Lonchura striata: one gene and its partners. The protein of the gene in region 3 interacts with the protein of the main gene of each other region in a pairwise test. Links are inferred from orthologs where the notes say so. Each region holds a gene or a part of one and is shown on either strand. Other genes may lie near its edges.

Region 1 (4,830 bases), on a different chromosome or scaffold from region 3:
CCTGGTAACTGCCAAGCCCTACATACTTTGGAGATGCTTCCTTATTTTGCCCTAACATACTCTCTCCCATTTCAGAAAGTGTTGCCGTGCATTTATCAAGAAGACATTTTACATATCCTGAAGAATGTTTACCTTTTTCAAATGCTGATAGTGAAGTCCAAGACAAACTTACATGATGGACCCTGCATCCCCAGAGGTGCCCAAGGCCAGGTTGGATGTGTCTGGTCTGGTGGATGGTGTTCCTGCCCATGGTGAGGGGTTAGCACTAGATGATCTTTAAGGTCCCTTCCAACCCAAACCATTCCATGATTCTTTACAGGACAGTGTCCTGGCTAGAACGACCAGCTATTCCACGTACTGAAAGGAGACATGTAGGAGGGGCAGCTAACACAATGAGGGTTTTGATAGAAAGCACCAAGATGTGCGCATTTATCTCGGGTTGCTTTTTCATTGTTGCTGTATGCTACTGGAAGTGGCAGTAGTCCTGCTTTTGTGACTTGCAAGAAAACATCATTTATCAGCCACCTTCCTGAGTGCAGTTCTTCTGCATATTCGACCAAAAATGTTCAATATGTACTTCAAGGTTCAACAGGAGTGATGTCTCCTTTGACCACATCTACGTGATATCGAAGTCAGGCAGGAAAACTACACATTAAAACCAACTTTAGGCAGGCAGAGATTTAGAGCATTATTTAATGTCACTACTAGTTTTATTGTCATTCCCTCTCTTTTCCTCTACTCCCACAGAGCCATCAAGAAGCTGGCTGCCCACTCAGTTCATAAAGTCAGGGAAAAATTCTTTGCCACCTGAACATTATTGACACTGTAAAATCCCCAAAACATATAACTCCTGTGATACTGGAGGAGCGTAGATGGAAGATGGGAAAGAACGAGAAATGGAAAAAAGGATGCAAGTTTTCTGCTTTTTATGTGAAAATAAATCAAGATATGCATTTCATTCAGGATCTCAATTCAGCTACATAGGGCTGGCAACATTTTCCACTAAGAATAGAGTACATGCTTACGGCACTTGTGTCATTCTTTGTAAGGCACCCAGAGCCACCCAACGCTGAGCCTTTATGACACGGGAATTAAACAACAGGCTCTTCCCCAACCCCACAAGCCGGCTGTGCAGGAAAAACACAACTTATTCAGCAACTTAATTGCTTTGAATTCTTTGTATTATTACTTGTAACATAGTTGCTGAGATGTCAAGCGCTGGGTCACTGCCCTCCAGGGAGTAGCTCGCCCCCCACCCACGGGCAGAGTTTGGGCACACCTGGCAGGACGGAGGGGCCGGGGGAAGCTGGGAGCGCCCTCAGCCCCGGGGAGCGCCCTCAGCCCCGGGGAGCGCCCTCAGCCCCCTCAGCCCCTCAGCCCCGGGGAGCGCCCTCAGCCCCCTCAGCCCCCTCAGCCCCGGCCCCGCCGCACCGGCCCGGCCTCGGCCCCCCCCGCCCCGCGCTCTCTCGCGAGACTCGGTCGCTGTAGACGCGATGTCCTTTGGGGCACTGGCGAGGGGGAGGACACGGGGGAGGGAGGCAAAGCCTTGATTGATAGCGGCGTTCACCAATAGGCGAGGGGAGCGGCGAGGTTTTAGCCAATAGCTTCACAGCGAGGGGAGCGGTGAGCCAATGGCGACGGTGGGGGGCGGGGCGCAGCGCTGGCTGATTGATCCCAGCTCTGGCGTTGTTCAGTCGGAGCGAGAACATTCTAGAGGTGAGTACGGGGCAGCCATTGCCGGGTCCCGTTCGCCGGCCCCTGCTGCCTCAGCTGCGCGCCTCTCGCCGCCTCTCCCTCCCCCCTTCCCTCTTCTCCCCCCTCCTCTTCCCTCTCCCTCGCAGGTGCCGCCGCTAACGATGCTCCTGATTGTATCTTGCCCGCAGATTGCCCGGCGCCGCTCTCCCTGGTGATACCGCCCGCCCCAGGACGCCGGGACCCGGAGGCTGCGGCGTCCGCCTCCGCCTCCCTCTCCGTCTGGATATAAGCGCCCCCTCGGCCCTGTTCTCCTCTCACAATCGGCTTCGTCGCAGCCCGGGGCGAGCAGCGTTGGGTTTATGTCTTTATTGGACGAAAACGGTGAGTGCTAATAGTGGGCTAGTGCGGGTGAGGGCAGCGGGGTAAGGGGAGCGGGGGCCGGCGGGTGGTTGGGGCCGGGCTGGGGCCTCAGGCTGCCGGTGAACGGTGGAGATTCGCAGAGGTTTTGTGTAACGAAGCGTCCGGGACTTTGACGGGAGGGGGAGGAGAAGCAACGCGGGGCGGGGGAGCAAACAACATAAAACCGCACAACAAAACTCAACTCTGAAAGCAGTAAACCTTCATCTGTGGGGTTATTGTTTGCTGTTGGGGCGGGGGCGAGGGCGAGGATTTTTTTTTTTTTTTTTAATTTATATTCGTTTCGCCGCCGCCATGCGACGAGACAAGATGGCGGCGGCGGGGCCGCGCCTCCCGCGCTGTGCCCGGGGGGGGCAGTGGCGCAGTTCCCACCGGGCGCGGGGGGGGGCGCTCGGCCCCGCTCCCGGGGGGCGGCGGGGGCTCCCCCGTGCCGTGCGGGGCGCATGCGCGGCCGGCGGCGGCTCCCGGCGCTGAGTCAGCGTTTAATTGCTGCATTTATGAGTCACCGGCGGCGGGGCGGGGGCGCGGCGCTGTGCGGCAGGGAGCCGGTGTGCCTTCCCGCTCTGTCCTCCGTGCGCGGCGAGGGGGGGTGGTGCTTGGGATGAGGTGGTGTGGGCACCAGGAGAGGGAGCTGCAGCCTGCAGCGGATCAGTGCTGCGCTCTGGAAGGGGGGGAAAACGGTACGCTCCTTCTGGGAGCTCGGCCACCGAGAGAGCTGCTTCCTCGGCATTTCTAAAGACACGTGGTCAGGTTACACCGCGGCTCTTTTTAGACATCCTGGGGAAGGAAATAGTGTGTTGTAAACGGAGTCCTAGCGGTGTGGTTTTTGCTGAGGAAGGGTAAAATTGTATCAGGGCTAATGTAGAAGACAAGGCACATAGAGATCTATGTTCTTATTGTGTAAAGAAGTTGTAAACGTGACCAGAGGACTCGGATCATGTTGCACCATAGGCACGCTCTTCCACATAAATACTAAGAAAGCTTTTTTAATGTGTCAACGCTTCTGTCATTAACGATAACAACGTGATGACGTGTCAGAATAGCCATGCTCTGTAATCAGGGTTGCCTGTGTACTCAACCAATTGTGGCTTAAGTACCATTAGATCTGATTATAGAAGCACGTGTTAATTTAAATATGTAAATACTGCTCAAGGCAACGTTAATAATAGGATTCATCCTCCTTCCCCTTCCTCCCCCCCTCCCTTTCCCCCAAGAAAAAATCAACTGGAAAAGCTGCTGCACTGCTCTGTACCTCTGCATTGCTAGGCTTTCTACAGTGAAGCAACTTCTGTCAGATTTTATCAGGCTTATTGTTAAGTCAGAACTCAACAGAAGCTGCTATGAGAATCCATAAGTGAGAGAGAGAATTACGTAATTTTCAACTCTTTTCCACTCCGATTCAAAAACTGGTAAGCCATGTAGAAACTGTTGGGCTACAGATTGCTGCTGCTTCATCTTACTTATATTTTGCAACATTTTGGCAGACTTCAGTTTGTGATAGGTTCATGATGTGGAATTTGAAATGGATTTCCAAATATTTCTCCTGATTTCCTGTGCCCTTCAGCCTGAAACTGTACCACGTGACCCTTATGGCGCAAGTCACTGGTCTGCATAATCGAGGCGTGTGCCCTTCCTTAGTCATCCCAGAACTCCTGCTGGAATTAATTGTATAAAAAAGTAGTTGTAAGCTGTTCAGTGGTTTTAGGGCAGTAAGAGAGGGTGGAAAGCTTGGTGGTGCAGTTAAAGAAAAGTTCCTTAGCAGTACAAGCCAAGGATGGATTTCAGTTCCATAGGTTGAAGAAAGCCATAGCATAAGAAATGTACTTTTCCCTTTATTCACCTTAAATATCATGCATTATATAGCTTTGTGGCAAGAGTGGATTGATGTACATGAATCTAAACTTAATTTTTTTGTGTGTTGTTAACACTTGCAGAGCTGTTGCGCAGCCACTGGTACCTGTATTGGGGAAACATAGCATACAAGCAAGAACCTTACAGCCTCAGTGGCGAAAATTTTTTCATGTCAGAGACCGAGAACTCTTGCAGTCGTTTATGTCATCCCGTCTTCTCCAGACAGAAGATACCAAAAAACTGCAATCAAAGATCTCTTCATCTTATTGATAAAGCTACTAATAAGGCAAAATGTCTGTCAACGTCAACCGCAGTGTTTCAGATCAGTTCTATCGCTACAAAATGCCCCGTCTGATTGCCAAGGTAACTTCCTAAGCAGCAGCTGGAAGCAAAGCAGGGAGTGTTCTCCCATAACTGGTTTTCCCAGGGTGGGAAAGAGAGGCCAGGATAATGCTTGGTCACTCAGAGCAGGGAGGATGTGCCCTCCTCCGGTCCACACTAAGTGCATGTTAGTCTTGGAAGGAGTTGCACTTCAAAGCGGAATTTTGGTGTAGTTAAATGGAAATGCACACTGGGTTTGGCTGTTGCAAACATTTGACCTTAAAATATTATTTTTTTTCTGTAGGTGGAGGGCAAAGGAAATGGAATAAAGACGGTTATAGTCAACATGGTTGACGTTGCAAAGGCGCTTAATCGGCCTCCAACGTGTAAGTATTGTGGAATGACACAGCATTTTGTAATGCTTTTCTGTTTGAAGTGGTAGTGTGAATTGGCTAGTAAAGCATTAATACTGTTCCTTAAAGATTTGTAGGAAAAAAACATGATTATCTCAGGATTAAAGAATGGACAGAAACAGTAGCCTCTACT
Region 2 (4,830 bases), on a different chromosome or scaffold from region 3:
TCCTTCCCGGGACCCCGAAATCCGCGGATTTCACCCCAAAATCAGCGGAATAACCCCAAAATCAGCAGAATAACCCCGAAATCCTCCCCGGGACCCAGAAATCCGCGGATTTCACCCCAAAATCAGCAGAATAACCCCGAAATCCTCCCCGGGACCCCAAAACCACCGGATTTAACCCCAAAATCAGCGGAATAACCCCGAAATCCTCCCCGGGACCCGAAATCCTCGCCGGGACCCCGAAATCCGCGGATTTCACCCCAAAATCAGCAAAATAACCCCGAAATCCTCCCCGGGACCCCGAAATCCGCGGATTTCACCCCAAAATCAGCGGAATAACACCTAAATCAGCGGAATAACCCCAAAATCAGCGGAATAACCCCGAAATCCCCCCGGGACCCAGAAATCCGCGGATTTCACCCCAAAATCAGCGGAATAACCCCGATATCCTCCCCGGGACCCCGAAATCCGCGGATTTCACCCCAAAATCAGCGGAATAACCCCGAAATCCCCCCGGGACCCCAAAATCCGCGGATTTCACCCCAAAATGAGCGGAATAACCCCAAAATCCACGGATTTAACCCCTAAATCCTCTCCGGGACCCCAAAACCACCGGATTTAACCCCAAAATCAGCGGAATAACCCCGAAATCCTTCCTGGGACGCCAAAATTCGCGAATTTAACCCCAAAATCCTCCCCGGACCCAAAATCCGCGGATTTAATCCAAAATTTCTCCCCGGACCCCAAATCCTCGAATTTAACCCCAAAATCCCCCCGGGACCCCAAAATCCTCTGCGGGACCGAAATCTGCAGATTTAACCCCAAAAATTCTCTCCGGGACCCCAAATCCCCCGCGGGACCCAAAATCTGCGAAACGACCCCAAAAACCTTTAAGAATTCCCCGAAATCCCCCAAATTTCCCAAAATCCCCCAAATTTCCCAAAACCGCGCGGTTTCTCCCCAAAATTCCCAAAACCCCGCGGTTTCTCCCCAAAATTTCCCAAATTGCCCAAAACCGCGCAGTTTCTGCCCAAAATCCCCCCAAATCGCGCGGTTTCTCCCCAAATTGCCCAAAACCCCGCGGTTTCTCCCCAAATTTCCCAAAACCACGCGGTTTCTCCTTAAATTTCCCAAAACCGCGCGGTTTCTCCCCAAATTGCCCAAAACCGCGCGGTTTCTCCCCAAATTGCCCAAAACCCCGCGGTTTCTCCTCAAATTTCCCAAAATCGCGCGGTTCTCCCCAAATTGCCCAAAATCCCCCCAAAACCGCGCGGTTTCTCCCCAAATTTCCCAAAACCCCGCGGTTCTCCCCAAATTGCCCAAAACCGCGCGGTTTCTCCCCAAATTTCCCAAATTGCCCAAACCCGCGCGGTTTCTCCCCAAATTGCCCAAACCCGCGCGGTTTCTCCCCAAATTTCCCAAATTGCCCAAAATCCCGCGGTTTCTCCCCAAATTTCCCAAATTGCCCAAACCCGCGCGGTTTCTCCCCAAATTTCCGAAATTGCCCAAAATCGCGCGGTTTCTCCCCAAATTGCCCAAAATCGCGCGGTTTCTCCCCAAATTGCCCAAAACCGCGCGGTTTCTCCCCAAATTGCCCAAACCCGCGCGGTTTCTCCCCAAAATTCCCAAAACCGCGCGGTTTCTCCCCAAATTTCCCAAATTGCCCAAAACCGCGCGGTTTCTCCCCAAAGCCGCCGCCATGGCCGAGGCCGCGCCCCCCCCCCAGGAGCCGCCGGGGGCCGAGAGCGACCCCAGGGGGGGGCTGGGCAGGTGAGGGGCGCGATTTTGGGGCGATTTGGGGGGATTTGGGGATTTGGGGGATTTGGGGATTTTGGGGATTTTGGGGGGATTTGGGGGGATTTGGGGATTTGGGGGGATTTGGGGGGATTTGGGGATTTTGGGGGGTTTTGGGGGGATTTGGGGGAATTTGGGGGAATTTGGGGATTTTGGGGGGATTTGGGGATTTTGGGGGGTTTTGGGGAGATTTGGGGATTTTGGGGGGTTTTGGGGGGATTTGGGGATTTTGGGGGGGATTTGTGGGAATTTGGGGGAGATTTGGGGGATTTTGGGGAATTCGGGGGAGATTTGGGGAATTTTGGGGAATTTGGAAGAGTTTGGGGGGATTTGGGGACTTTTGGGGGGATTTGTGGGAATTTGGGGGAAATTTGGGGAATTTTGGGGAATTTGGGGGAGATTTGGGGGATTTGGGGAATTTTGGGGAGATTTTGGCAGATTTGGAGGAGTTTTGGGGGATTTAGGGAATTTTGGGGAGATTTGGGTGGATTTGGGGAATTTTGGGGAGTTTTGGGGGATTTGGGGAATTTTGGGGAGATTTGTGGAATTTTCGGGGGATTTGGGGGATTTTGGGGTGAATTCTGGCGATTTTGGGTCCCCCCCAGGCTGTCCCCCCCCGGCTGGGCCTGGCGCTGGCTCGGGGCCCTGGGGTGGATTTTGGGGTGGATTTTGGGGTGGATTTTGGGGCGGTTTTGGGGGGTTTTGGGGTGTTTTGGGGCCGGGGTTTTTTGGGTTCGTTTGGGGTGGATTTTGGGGTGAATTTTGGCGATTTTGGGTCGCCCCCCAGGCTGTCCCCCCCCCGGCTGGGCCTGGCGCTGGCTCGGGGCCCTGGGGTGGATTTTGGGGTGGATTTTGGGGCAGTTTTGGGTGTTTTTGGGCTGTTTTGGGGCCGGGGTTTTTCGGGTTAGTTTGGGCTGGATTTTGGGGTGAATTCCGGCGATTTTGGGTCCCCCCCAGGCTGTCCCCCCCCGGCTGGGCCTGGCGCTGGCTCGGGGCCCTGGGGTGGATTTTGGGGTGGATTTTGGGGTGGATTTTGGGGCAGTTTCGGGTGTTTTTGGGGTGTTTTGGGGCCGGGGTTTTTCGGGTTAGTTTTGGCCGGATTTTGGGGTGAATTCCGGCGATTTTGGGTCCCCCAGGCTGTCCCCCCCGGCTGGGCCTGGCGCTGGCTGGGGGCCCTGGGGCAGCTTTGGGGTGGATTTTGGGGTGGATTTTGGGGTGGATTTTGGGGCGGTTTTGGGGTGTTTTTGGGCTGTTTTGGGGCCGGGGTTTTTCGGGTTAGTTTGGGCTGGATTTTGGGGTGAATTTTGGCGATTTTGGGTCCCCCAGGCTGTCCCCCCCCGGCTGGGCCTGGCGCTGGCTGGGGGCGCGCCGGGCGGGGCTGCGGCCCTGGGGCTCCTTCCTGGACCAGCGGCGCTTCGGGGTCCCCCAAAATCTGGGGGAGCTCTGGCGGCGCCTGGGCCACAACGCCGAGAGGTTCCAGAGCAACTACCTGCTGCTGTTCCTGGCGCTGCTGGCCTACTGCCTGTGAGGAATTCGGGAATTCGGGAATTTTTGGGAATTTTTGGGAATTTTTCGGGGGTTCTACGGCGATTTTGGGGGGTTTAATGGCATTTTTGGGGGATTTTTTGTGATTTTTTGGGGTTTTTTTGGGGCATCATTCCCCAGCAATTCCGGCCTCTGAGGAATTCGGGAATTCTGGGAATTTGGGAATTTTTGGGAATTTTTGGGAATTTTTCGGGAATTTTTCGGGGGTTCTACAGCGATTTTGGAGGGTTTAATGGCATTTTTGGGGGATTTTTTGGCATTTTTGGAGCATTGTTCCCCAGCAATTCCCTGCTGCTGTTCCTGGCGCTGCTGGCCTGCTGCCTGTGAGGAATTCGGGAATTCCGGGAATTTTTGGGAATTTTTGGGAATTTTTGGGGAATTTTTCGGGGGTTCTACAGCGATTTTGGGGGGTTTCAGGGCGTTTTTGGGGGATTTTTTGTGATTTTTTGGGGGTTTTTTGGGGCATCGTTCCCCAGCAATTCCGGCCTCTGAGGAATTCGGGAATTATGGGAATTTTTGGGAATTTTTTTGGAATTTTTGGGGAGTTTTTCGGGGGTTCTACAGCGATTTTGGGCGGTTTAATGGCGTTTTTGGGGGATTTTTTGTGATTTTTTGGGGGTTTTTTGGGGCATCGTTCCCCAGCAATTCCGGCCTCTGAGGAATTCGGGAATTCTGGGAATTTTTGGGAATTTTTGGGAATTTTTGGGGAATTTTTCGGGGGTTCTACAGCGATTTTGGGGGGTTTCAGGGCGTTTTTGGGGGATTTTTTGGCATTTTTGGGGCATTGTTCCCCAGCAATTCCCTGCTGCTGTTCCTGGCGCTGCTGGCCTGCTGCCTGTGAGGAATTTGGGAATTTTCGGGAATTCGGGAATTTTTGGGGAATTTTGCGGAATTTTGGGAATTTTTTGGGAATTTTTGGGAATTTTTGGGGGGTTTTGTGGCGTTGTTCCGGTTTGTCCCAGTTTGTCCCAGTTTGTCCCAGTCCCTCCCAGTAACTCCCAGTGCTCCCAGTTTGAGCTCCCAGTGCTCCCAGTCCCTCCCAGTTGGAGCTCCCAGTGCTCCCAGTAACTCCCAGTGCTCCCAGTTTGAGCTCCCAGTCCCTCCCAGTGCTCCCAGTTTGAGCTCCCAGTCCCTCCCAGTGCTCCCAGTTTGAGCTCCCAGTAACTCCCAGTGCTCCCAGTTGGAGCTCCCAGTGCTCCCAGTAACTCCCAGTTCTCCCAGTTGGAGCTCCCAGTGCTCCCAGTAACTCCCAGTGCTCCCAGTTGGAGCTCCCAGTGCTCCCAGTCCCTCCCAGTGCTCCCAGTTTGAGCTCCCAGTGCTCCCAGTAACTCCCAGTTCTCCCAGTTTGAGCTCCCCGCTGCTCCTCGTCGCTCTCGGGGTTTTTTTCGGCGTCGCCGTTCGGCTCCGGGCCCGGGAGACGCCGCTGGTGCTGCTGGGTGAGACTGGGAGGGACTGGTTTATACTGGGAGGGACTGGGAGGGGACTGGGAGTTAC
Region 3 (4,830 bases):
AAACAAACCCAAACCAAAACTCCAAAGAGTAAAGTGCATGCTCCAGTTCACCTGTCCTTCCATTACTCCGAGCAATGCCGGTTCCATCCACTGCACAGGCTCGATGAAGTAGGAGGTGCACTTTTCCTGGCCATTCCCAGAAAGCCTTGCAGACTCTGTTATCCTCTTGTGGGCAAAAGCTGTGGGTCCCATTCCTTCCGTGTGGGACAAAATGCTGGAGCTACGGAACAGAGCGCGTCTGCCCTCCAGGACATGGGAAAAAAGAAGTAAAACAAATGGATTTTTTCACTGGGCAAAGCTACAAATAGAAAGTATGGGTCTCCTGGCTCTGAATAATTAAACAGGAGTATAAATTCTACATTTTTTTGATTAGTCTAGAAGGTTCACAAGCACCACTCCAGGGAACAAAGGGTTTTGCATGTTGTACTTTTTTTTTTTTTTTTCTGCAAACACAGCATGGAAACTTAGGCAACAGCTCATCCCTGACCTGACAACAATGACATGCCCATTGATTCACACAGGTATTCTACTCTTGAGTAGATTTCACAATGATGTTTTAAGTAGAAATATAAAGTATTTTATAAATATATAAAAATACATTTTTTTAAAATATATAAAGTACCTGCATTTCCTGCATTTGTAGAGAACCTCTGTGTTCAAAGTTTGACATACAGTGGTAGGATCAACTGCAAAGACTTCTCGGGGCAAGTCTTGAGGTCCTGCAGAGGGGTCAAGACCATATTGTGAATCAGATCAGCTCAGCCATGCTGCATTCCTGGGAATGAGACAGGACTGTGCCTCTGCCCCAGTTACAGCCTGCGGGTGCCACCTTCTTTCATTTGTTCTCTCACTAATTCCAATAGATTAAGCTAAAAAAAAAGGAGCCTCATCCCGCCATGCCTGAGACTGGGATTTGTTTAATGCAAGGAACTGGGATCTAGATTATGGCCTCAACCATGGTAAAATAATGATATTTTGCTTTATGTTCTTACTTCAGCAGAAAGTAAAGGCAGAGGAGGTTTCTGAGCAGTTGTGCCAATGTTTGAATGCCCAAAATACAGAAAGTCATCACGCAAATAAGAACTGCTTAGGACAATGTTACATAAAGGGCACAAAGTTGCACTGTGATGCAATACTGAGATCTTGCAAGAAAAGCTACAGATTATTCTATTATAAAATTACACCAATGTATACGTATATTGTGCGAATTAAAGTATGAAAATGTACTTCATTACCAGCATTTCAACTTTTGCATGTTATTTTTTCATCACATTGACATATTTTTATCACACTGACGTATTTTAACAGAGGATGCTGTTTGCTTTGCCAGGAATGTAAAAATCACTAAAAATATTGAATTGACCTTTACCATTTTTTGCACTTTACTAAAGAGTGCAGCTCCTTACAGATCTTATTTCCCGCGCATGTCCCAAAGGCACATTTTTTCCCCCCCCACTGACGAACTGGGATTTGCTAGGGCTGGTATAATGTGAATGTTCGCCCTGGCCAAGCGCAGGCTCGGCTCTTTTGAGGGCAACACTCGAAGCCAAGCCCCTTTGACATGGCTTTCTGCGTTCATTCCGGGACAGCCAGTTCCCCTCCCGGGAAACGCGATTCTCCCGCTCACCGGAGAACCTCTCGCTGAGCATCTCCAGCCGGTACCGCTTGTAGAGCACGCTGCCGGTGTCCACGGCGCAGCCCATCGCCTCGTAGAGCTTCAGCTGTGCCTGGAAGCCGGGGTTCACCCTGCGGCGGGGCGGAGAGCGGAGCGGGGTGAGGGCAGCGCGGGGTGAGAGCGGAGCGGGGTGAGAGCAGCGCGGGGTGAGGGCGGAGCGGGGTGAGAGCGGAGCGGGGTGAGAGCGGAGCGGGGTGAGGGCAGCGCGGGGTGAGGGCAGCGCGGGGTGAGAGCGGAGCGGGGTGAGGGCAGCGCGGGGTGAGGGCAGCGCGGGGTGAGAGCGGAGCGGGGTGAGGGCAGCGCGGGGTGAGGGCAGCGCGGGGTGAGAGCGGAGCGGGGTGAGGGCAGCGCGGGGTGAGGGCAGCGCGGGGTGAGGGCAGCGCGGGGTGAGAGCGGAGCGGGGTGAGAGCAGCGCGGGGTGAGAGCGGAGCGGGGTGAGAGCGGAGCGGGGTGAGAGCGGAGCGGGGTGAGGGCAGCGCGGGGTGACAGCGGAGCGGGGTGAGGGCAGCGCGGGGTGAGAGCGGAGCGGGGTGAGGGCAGCGCGGGGCACTCACCGCGCGTCCGGCTTGGCGGCGCTGACGGCGGCCAGCGCCTCCTCCCAGCCGAGCCCCTGCGTCTTCATCAGGTAGGCGGCGACCACGGCCGCGCTGCGGCTCACCCCGGCGTGGCTGCAAGGCGAGGGCGGCCCGTCAGCGGCAGCGCGGCCGCCGCGGGCAGCGCTGGCCCCGCCGCGGCCCCGCGCTCACCAGCGGACGAGCGCGGCGCCGCCGCCCGCCCGGGCCGCGCCCAGGAACGCGGCGCACTCGTCCAGGCGGCTCAGCAGGTCCGCGCCGGGCTCGTCCCGCGCCCGGACGTGCATGGCCCGCACCCCCGGCACGGCCGGCGGCTCCTCCGCGTCCACCGTCAGCACCGCCACCACCCCCGCCGCCGCCAGCGCCTCCGGGGACGAGCACGAGTCCGCGGCGCCCAGGTAGAGCCCCGCCAGCACCGGCACCATCCCGCCGGGAGCCGCCATGGCCGGGCAGGCGGGCGGAGCGCCGCCCCGGCCGCAGCGCTTTCCGCTTCCCCGCCGGGATGCGGGGATGACTTCCGCGGGAGTCGGCGTGCAGCGCTGCCTGCCGGCGCCGCTCGCTCCTCGCCGCGTCTGCGGGCCTCTGCCTTAACTCGTCCTTTCTCCCCACCCCTCCGTCTGCTTACACACGCTCAGAAAACAAATATGTATCACAGGAGGGGTCACGTTGCGAGGGACCGCAGTCATTTGGTCCAACCTGCCTGCTCAAGCAGGGTCGTCCAAAAGTACCTGGTACAGTGTGAAAAATGCATATTAAATGATTGGCTCTTCACAAATATTAAATTGAATACTTGTATCTGTTCTGTTAAACTGACTACTTATATGTGTTACGTGTTATTTTGTAGTACTGTATTAATCCTTTTAAAGTAGTGTGTTAAATATAGTTTTAGGTTATAGCATAGTGTTGAAATAGAAACTGAAAAACGCTAATTACTTGGTTTTTAAAATTTTAAAAATGTAATAATATTAAAATGGTTATAAAAATAATAATACAATTAGAGTAATAAAGTTTAGAGTTAGGATAATTATAAGACAATAAAAAGCAAAGAATTATGGACGTTTGGATGTTCTCGGACACTAAGTTACAAAAAGTATGACTTGTGAACAAAAGAATCACCCTTAATACACTTGTTGCGTATTTATATATCTTTTATGGTTATGCATACGTTTTATTTAAAACAAGAAACTCTGTTTGTTGTATGTCAACTGTTCTTTTAATTCCTATAGCATCTTTGAGTTTGAGCAAAGCTTGAAGAAATTAGGTTCTTCTGATAAGAAGCTATAAATTCCTCTCCTTTGGAAGATTTAGGTGTTCTTCAAAGCGAGTATTTCATTCTTAAAAAAAACTTCTTCTGCATGTATAGTCTCTATTTTAGCATTATGTTGGAACTTAAAACTATATTTTATATACTACTTAAGAGAATTAATACAGCATAACTTTTTAAGATTATACATATAATATTCATTGTAATATTTGCGAAAAGCTAATCATAAAATATGCATTTTTCACAGAAACTATGCAATGTAAGATATTTTTCTAACTAGCTAAATAAAGGGATGAGATAATAAAGAAATTCTTCACACGGAGATAGCAGCAACAAGACACCTAAAGAGTTACAGCCTCCTTATTGGAAAAGACAAACATTCTTCCACCTCCTCTCAGTCTTTAAGGAGCCACCAGGATTAAGGAGAAGAAGTTTGCAATAACTTGAGAACATCCTTTGTTTGAAAAGAATTTATGCATCATGTATGAGATACATGAATATGCAACAGGCTACTGCTTTTAAGGGTTAATCCTTTGTTAGCATGTGTGATTTCAGGGCTTAATTGGCCTAGGACTGGACTGTCCATTTTTCTTTTTTTTTTGTTGTTGTTGTTGTCCTAACTCTGATTGTCCAAATTATTATTACTCTATTTTTATTACCATTTTATTACTATTAAACTTTTAAAATTTTAAAACAAGTGATTGGTGTTTTTCACATACAGGATTGTGTCCAGACAGTTCTGGAGTATCTCCAGTGAAAGAGACTCCTGACAGACAACACAGAAAATAGAAATTTTCAGTTCCTCTTGAAGCTGAACTTAAATAGAACTTAAATACTAACTAGCAAAATAGATAAAAGAGTACAAAAGTAGACACACAGGATGCTAATTATAACTGGAATCAGTGGATAAACAGTTAATGAGGAATATAGTGGTTTTTGTGGCAAAGCCATGTAACAAGAAGCAACAGCACATGCCCTAAAAGAAGTTCAAGCCAAAGTCATCTGCATCATTGGGGGTGTCAGGAAAATCCACAAACACCAGAGGTTTTTGTCCAAAAAGGAGACAGAGGTGTCCTGCAACTTTATTTGAATGAAGGGAGAGTTCACTGGAGCACACACCTGCAGAGTTTTCTCTCTCTCAGGGTTTTGGAGGGCACAGCTGCCTTTTATCCAAAACTCCTGGCCACATGTTGCCCTCTTCGTTTCCCCATTGCTGAGGTACTCAAAAGGTACAGCCTTCATGAACTGCCTGCCACATATTCCCCGTTTGAACCTATTATTTTACCCCAAAATTCAGAAGTTCAAGCTTGTGCAGACTT

Evidence for each region.
Region 1: the proteins of DUSP12 (region 3) and EIF5 interact in binary tests that used the Homo sapiens proteins (3 or more experiments, as listed by UniProt). The two-hybrid records come from large-scale screens. The link is inferred for Lonchura striata from reciprocal best matches to the Homo sapiens genes DUSP12 and EIF5.
Region 2: the proteins of DUSP12 (region 3) and RABAC1 interact in binary tests that used the Homo sapiens proteins (3 or more experiments, as listed by UniProt). The two-hybrid records come from large-scale screens. The link is inferred for Lonchura striata from reciprocal best matches to the Homo sapiens genes DUSP12 and RABAC1.

What each region holds. Positions count from the first base shown.
Region 1 is NC_134608.1:10,229,461-10,234,290, reverse strand, and holds the start of EIF5 (eukaryotic translation initiation factor 5), read left to right. Parts: upstream 1-1,641; 5' UTR 1,642-1,716; intron 1,717-1,883; 5' UTR 1,884-2,076; intron 2,077-3,331; exon of another isoform or gene 3,332-3,521; intron 3,522-4,046; 5' UTR 4,047-4,254; coding exon 4,255-4,326; intron 4,327-4,588; coding exon 4,589-4,670; intron 4,671-4,830.
Region 2 is NC_134639.1:279,231-284,060, reverse strand, and holds the start of RABAC1 (prenylated Rab acceptor protein 1), read left to right. Parts: upstream 1-1,696; coding exon 1,697-1,767; intron 1,768-3,117; coding exon 3,118-3,315; intron 3,316-4,680; coding exon 4,681-4,772; intron 4,773-4,830. UniProt on the Homo sapiens protein: General Rab protein regulator required for vesicle formation from the Golgi complex. May control vesicle docking and fusion by mediating the action of Rab GTPases to the SNARE complexes.
Region 3 is NC_134604.1:28,325,556-28,330,385, forward strand, and holds the start of DUSP12 (dual specificity protein phosphatase 12), read right to left. Parts: upstream 2,961-4,830; 5' UTR 2,691-2,960; coding exon 2,422-2,690; intron 2,344-2,421; coding exon 2,230-2,343; intron 1,747-2,229; coding exon 1,628-1,746; intron 720-1,627; coding exon 623-719; intron 239-622; coding exon 52-238; intron 1-51. UniProt on the Homo sapiens protein: Dual specificity phosphatase; can dephosphorylate both phosphotyrosine and phosphoserine or phosphothreonine residues. Can dephosphorylate glucokinase (in vitro).